Oryzias latipes: one gene and its partner. The protein of the gene in region 1 binds, or shares a complex with, the protein of each later gene. Links are inferred from orthologs where the notes say so. Each region holds a gene or a part of one and is shown on either strand. Other genes may lie near its edges. The genes, in order: hbs1l and pelo.

Evidence for each region.
Region 2: hbs1l (region 1) and pelo share a complex: the UniProt entries of both Homo sapiens proteins name them as parts of the pelota-HBS1L complex. The link is inferred for Oryzias latipes from reciprocal best matches to the Homo sapiens genes HBS1L and PELO.

What each region holds. Positions count from the first base shown.
Region 1 is NC_019882.2:14,274,361-14,277,599, reverse strand, and holds the end of hbs1l (HBS1-like protein), read left to right. Parts: intron 1-206; coding exon 207-275; intron 276-360; coding exon 361-465; intron 466-678; coding exon 679-769; intron 770-913; coding exon 914-1,022; intron 1,023-1,228; coding exon 1,229-1,329; intron 1,330-1,731; coding exon 1,732-1,876; intron 1,877-1,948; coding exon 1,949-1,960; 3' UTR 1,961-2,686; downstream 2,687-3,239. UniProt on the Homo sapiens protein: GTPase component of the Pelota-HBS1L complex, a complex that recognizes stalled ribosomes and triggers the No-Go Decay (NGD) pathway.
Region 2 is NC_019877.2:7,505,820-7,509,370, reverse strand, and holds the end of pelo (protein pelota homolog), read left to right. Parts: intron 1-1,423; coding exon 1,424-1,455; intron 1,456-2,361; coding exon 2,362-2,456; 3' UTR 2,457-2,768; downstream 2,769-3,551. Other genes in the region: progestin and adipoQ receptor family member 4, read right to left, coding at 3,296-3,551. UniProt on the Homo sapiens protein: Component of the Pelota-HBS1L complex, a complex that recognizes stalled ribosomes and triggers the No-Go Decay (NGD) pathway.

The DNA of each region.
Region 1 (3,239 bases):
AAAAAATGTCTAGCAAAAAAAACAACTGTTAATGACTTGATTCAGTTATGGTTCATATAGTTTTCTGCGCTGTGCTGTTTACTGATTGTGTTCATTGGCTTAGACACTGAATGGTCACTTCTGTTTATCACAGTAATATTTGCTAGACTTTCCTGTTTTTTGGCGTTAACTTCCTCTTCTGTTGTTCTGTTTTTTCCCCTTTTCAGATGCATTCAAACCCCCTCAGAGATCTGTAGATAAACCTTTCAGACTGTCTGTCTCCGATGTGTTCAAAGGTAAAGTCAGAGCAAAAACGCTTTTTGCTAAATACTTGCTCTTAAATAAATAAATCCATTAATATATGTATATTTGTTGTTTTAGATCAGGGTTCAGGCTTTTGTGTCACCGGAAAGATCGAAGCTGGTTATATTCAAACGGGAGACAGAATACTGGCAATACCTCCCAATGAAACCTGCACAGTGAAAGGTGAACCGTTTCCTGCAAAGCTAAAGTTTCGACTGATTTGTTTTTTTTCCCTAAAGATATCTCTCACGGGTTTGTTGGCTGTTTTGAAGTAAACATGACCGATTGTGCAATGTTTTTTTGTTTTTTTTTGGTAACTCAACGATGCATCATCATGTCACAAAGGTGACATGATGTGTTGGTGAGTAACGCTGCCATCCTGTGGCTTCTCTGCAGGAATCACTCTACATGATGAAGCTCTGGACTGGGCGGTAGCTGGAGACCACATCAGCCTTACACTCACTGGAATGGACATCATCAAGATGAAGTAAAAAAAAATGGTTCAAAATGAATGAAGTAAAAAAAAAAAAGGCAAAATGGCAGAAATGATTGTGTTGTTGATGTAGAAATGTCAGGCTAGGAAATCTTCCCCTTGGAAGACTGAACCCTTTGCTTTGACTCCTCCCTGCAGTGTTGGCTGCGTTTTCTGTGACCCCAAGGAGCCCATTCGAGTCTGCACTCGATTCAAAGCCAGAATCCTCCTTTTCAATATCGAGGTTCCCATCACAAAAGGCTTTCCAGTAAGATTGTAAAAAATCAAAATGCAAAAAACTGCAAATTTAACTGAATGAAACAGTTTAGTGGAATAAACATCAAATGTACGTTTTTTTTTAACATAAAAGGTTAATGTTTTCTTACATTTAGCTGAAATTTTAATTTCTGAATGAAAAAAATTGTTTAAATTAATGTTGAAATGTGTTAACTTTTTTTTTTATTTGGGCTTTAGGTACTGTTGCACTACCAGACAGTCAGCGAGCAAGCCACCATTAGAAAACTAATAAGTGTCCTACATAAGACCAGCAGCGAAGTCCTCAATAAGAAACCAAAGTGAGTTGATGGGAATGAAACTTTTACAGCGTTTTGCAGTGTCACTTGAACGCATCGGGGTGTTCCGTTCTCCTGCTGTGCCGTTGTTGTTTGTCCTCCACTGAAACCTGGCTGCTGTGCTGCACGTCAATGCGTGGGAAGATGGAGATGTGCGTTAACCCGATGCAAACTGATGCAGCTTGTGCGTCAAATGTACATCACAAAGACCTGAGGGATTTTTTATATGAACAACTTTTATGATTTGAAAAGTAAAATAAATAGTTTAATGTTAAATGCTTAAAACATGTTGATTATTTGCACACAAGGGGTGTTAAAATGCTTTTTTCTAGTTTATTGATACTTTATTTTTTGCAGTTTCTTTCAAGAGATTTTTATTTACTTTTTATATGTCTTATTTTTAAGGTGTTTGACGAAGGGTATGAATGCCATTGTGGAGATCCAGACCCAGAGGCCGGTGCCGTTAGAGCTGTACAAGGACTACAAAGAACTGGGGCGCTTCATGCTGCGATATGTGGGCTCCACCATTGCTGCAGGAGTTGTTACAGAGGTGATTATAAAGGGTTATAATTCTGTAATTTTGGGTTGTCTTCTTTGATACATGTGCTTTTCTCTGCTGTAGATCAAGGAATGAAGAGTTTCCACCAGCACAGGGGTCAGCCGGGGTCAAAGAGTCTGACTTTTCCCTGGGTTCTGGCTGGAGCCAGAGCCTTGGAAACAACAGGAGCCGCTCGCAGACTATAGAGTGCCATTTTTATCCCTCTGTTCATCCATCCAGTGCAGATCTGCATCCGTTGTTGGCTTTAACCAACAAAAGCTGCACACACATACAACTGTAGAGTAGAATGCAAACAGAAAATTCAAAAAAAAAAGGAGGGAGAGGAGAAACAAATGAAATGCTTCTGCAAGGGAGATTTTTAGTAAAGCAGTAAAATGCACAATGAAAGGGCTAATCTTGTTTTCCTACATGATTAAGAGGTTTGAATATTTTTTATTTTGAATCAAGATGTGCCAAGAGAGTGACAGTAGTTGTTTTTGGTTTGAATTTTTGTTGTTGTTTACAAATCACATTTAATTTGGGAATCAAGAACAGTATAAAAAGGCTTAAGAGCATAATAATGCTGCACATCAATAAACAGCATCTGCAGACGTTTTGACCTTTTTAAAATGCAAAAGTACATGATTGTAATTCAGAAGAACAAAATTATTAACATGGTAAAAATACTTTATCTGGTTTCATTGTGAGATTGTTTGCCTTTCCACAAGGCACAGTCATCCAGACCACGAAGAAGAGATGAATGACGCCAAGTCTAACACTTTACCTGGGAAAATAAAGTGATTACATACTTGCAACACTTCATGGGGACTTGTTTTTCTTTTTTTTGTTTGTTCGTTTGTTTCATGTGGGTTTCACAATGATTTCTAGTTTAAAAAAACGTCACAAAGAGAAGGTTTTGTTTCTCCTACGACCCTTGAACTAAAGAAAGCTAATCAGTAATGCATTAGTATGGCAGGAAAGTCATCTTTTATTATTAAAAGAAGATTTATCATTTAATAGATTTACTAAGAAAACACCAGGAACCCATTAGCCGAGAGGGTAACCATGACTCAGCAATCAAGCTGCTTTCAAGCTTCCATTTAAAAGCCGCCCGTGGCTTCAGACAGCAGCTCTTCCCAACTTTAAAGCACAGAAAAAAAAGGTAAATCCCTTCAGGTGACCTGTAACGTCAAACTGAAATCTCAAATATAGCATGACAGTTGTGAGGTTGCAAAAGCATTTCATAATGCTGCAGGTTTGTTGGCTCAGTTTGCTGACGAAGTTTCTCTGTAAGCTGATCAGTAACTAACATTGCTTTGCTCTCACGGTTATGGTCTGACTCAGTCCATACCTTTTTTAAAGCTGCCCACAGAAA
Region 2 (3,551 bases), on another chromosome or scaffold:
TAAACAATAATAAAATGATACTAGGACACTTGGACTTTGGTCCATCCATTCCTGGGACATGTGAGATTTTCCTGGTGACCCTCAACTTATTGAAATTCATGTAAATAGTTTTGCTCAGTTGAAAATCCCCCGAGCATAATGCTTTAAGGTTAATTATGATTATGCTGTGTTTAGCCAAAATCATAAAATCTATTGTGTACTAGGACATAGTTTCTGCAGAGCGGCAGTACTTCATTAGAAGGAAAGCTTGTGGTTTATCGTTGTAGTTTCTACATCACACCAACAAGCTTTTTCCGAGGGCAAATTTTGACTGTCCGTGATTCAAAACAATAAAGAAATTCTCAAAAATGCTATTTTAAGCTTACATTTCTAACTACCGGTAAATGTCCTCCACTGTAAAAAAACAAAAACAAAAAAAACACAAGAACATGTTAAAAACACCAAAAACTGAGTCCAAGCAAGACGTTTTTGAAAGAGTTAATAATGCATTCATTCAGATTTATTAAACAGGAAAAGATTCTGTGTAAAAACTGTTTTTCTGCAGGTTTTTGCTCTGCAGTCCATAGAAAGCCATGTCATTTAACTAAAAATAACACATTTTCAAACATAGGATTAAAGTTGACACATACCAACTGGTGTAACTATTTTAAGGATTTTAAAAAGTAAAAATAATATTAGAAAGTGGCTAAACGTATTTTAAAGAGCTTTCTTCAATATTTTAAGCTGTCTTTGGATAAACTGCTGCTATAAAATTTGAAAGAACTTAGAAGCACACAATCGTGTTCAACCTTATAAGGTCTGCTGTTTACCTCATCATAAAAAGGCAGATTTAATCTGTTTTTGTGTTTATTTTACCTCAGTTAACCCTGATCCCAGGTAATAACCATGTTCCTGTAAATATCTGACTCAGATTTTTTGTTATTTTAAATTTCTGTTTGACCTCCACAGAACGTCGTCTCCCCAGCACAACCTAATATTTCCATATAAAAATATAGATTTATCTAAATATAAAGTTGTGTTTTTTTTTAAAGGTGAATAAATTTAAATAGAATCTTTTTAGAGGTCTGTCCTCCTGTCTGCCCACAGCTAATCAATGGGTAAAAATTCCCTCTGTTGGTTATTAGTCTATCCCCCACCTGACACAGTGTAGATATTTGGCCCATTTTCCCTCAAAGTGAATCAGGACTACACAACCCCTTTGTGGTTACTTGATGAACTACACCTGATTGCAGTTACTTTTGCTTTTAGGGGGACTTCAGTCTGGAAGTCAAAGTTTCTTTTTTGTTTTCCAAAGAAAATATTTACTCTTTTTTTTTTACTAATTGTTTTAAAAAAGACAATTTTACCATCAAACATTTGCTTGATGAAATCTTTCAGTGGATCAGTATAAATGTGTTTTCTCTTTGGGTTTCTTTCTGTGTAGGATATTCTCAAGCCTTCATGTGTCTGGAGAACGTAAGTATACAACTACACTAGTTTTAGAATTCAAAAAGTCTTTTAAAAGATTTTTCATTAATTTAAATGGGTTCAGTTATGCAAAAGACAGATGAACCCCCTTATGATTCTTTGTTTTACATGGTTTTCCCAATTGAAGGATTTAAATAAAACAAATTTAAGTTAAAAAGTGTAACAAATAAACTCAACGTGTCATTTTGAAATGAAAATGATTACATTTTGTATAAATTACAATGAAAACATCCAAACCCACGTGGCCTCTGTTTAAAAAAGGGATTTCCTTTATCGACTTAGCAATTAGAAACGACAACTGGAATCCGCGAAGGGACGTCTAAGGGCAGGAATGTCCAGTTTAGTTTAGTCTGTTAAGTTCAATTTAGTATTTTCTTATTGACTTCTATGTACTCATGATCCTTTTGATTTTATGTTTTACTTTTTCAATTACCATTACAAAGCCCATTGAGACGACTGTGGTGGTGAATTTGGGCTATACAAATAAAATGGAATTGAATTGAATCTGTTGTCCGAGTTAAGTGTCATGAAGGAAATCTGTGCCTTTTATTTTGGTACAATCAATGTAATTCAGACATACGAGGTTCTTTTAAGCATTACCCGCCTTTTTAAGGTTACACTACAGCATTCAAATGATATGTATGTCAGAAATTTCGGTCAGTCACTCCACTGTCTTCATCTTGTTCATGCTGCAGTGGACCTGCTGGTGGGTTTTAGATCATTTTCCCCACTGAAATCACTTTTCTGCACACACCACATGCTTAGTTTAGGCTTTATTTAGGTTTTCTAGGTTGATATTTTCCAAAATAAGAGCTGCATTGTCAACATTTTTTAATGTAATTCGGTCTTTATTTCATGAAATGCATCCTGAGCTGTGTTTTTATTGTCATTTAGAGCTGACTCAGCTGGGGGGAGTGGCTGCTATCTTGCGGTTTCCCATGGCAGACCTGTCAGAGCCGGAGGACGACAGCAGCTCAGATGAAGACTAAACTAACTCACGGGGAGGGAGGCAAAGCCGGGCCATGACGGCTGCAGAGGACATGCAGCAAATGAGCGTGTGGTTGATTATTAAACCAGCTGTGTTCCTCTTCAAACCCAACAGTTCAGATGTGTCCATTCTGAGTCAGAGGTGATTTTCTTTTATTCTGAAGTTGGCAGCAAAATATGCTAGTAGCAAGAATCTAATAGTTGCCAAATCAAAATGAAAAGAAATGGAACTTTGTAAGAACTGTAAAATCACAGGTTTTCCAAGTGTATATACGACTTTGTTCTTGCAATTAAATAACTAAAGCATGCAGTTACTTCGGTTTTACTTTGTCACATGAACATCATGCATGTATTTCATACAAATATAAAAATATATGGCATTTATTATGTACAGTTAAAACTCAGTTTAATGACCCATTTGGTCAAAAGCTGCTGCAAATATAACTAAATCAAGTATGTTCAGGAGTTTTCATTAAATACAGCAATAGTGAAGCTCAGCAGTGACAAAACTTTGGGTTCCTTTAATTCTTCTGTGGCAAAAGGCTAGATTAAAAACTTCTGGGAAGACTAAAGTGCATTATTTGAACTTCTTCCCTTAGTGCAAAGCCGTAACCCTTGTGCTATCCTAGGCACTTTAACATTGGGAGTTGGGTCATCTAGACCCCACAAAACAGTGCGCTGAACCTTTTTTCTTCAATGATTTGTGATCTTCACTGGTTTCCATGGATTACATGAAATCCTCTTCACCTTTCTCCACCTTTGTCATGGTAGGGAGAACACGTCAATGGTCTTCTTGACCCTATAGGATAGCACAAGGGTTAAGGTGAACCAGCTGCACGTGTCATCCCCCAGTAGGACACTGGAAGGACTTAATCCAGTTTAAATCTTCCATTGTGCCCCAGTGCATGTAGATAATCGAGCAGACAACCATCACATGCATTATCTGGTGGCTGTTGCCCCAGTTGTCAAACAAGCCTGGGCTAAACCGCTCTGGAATCTGGATGATGTTCACCAGTCCACCCAGCACAGCAAAAGCATCCATGATGACGAAGAGGCGCAGGGAGTTGGGACTGCCGACCCCGTTTCCGTAAACCCGG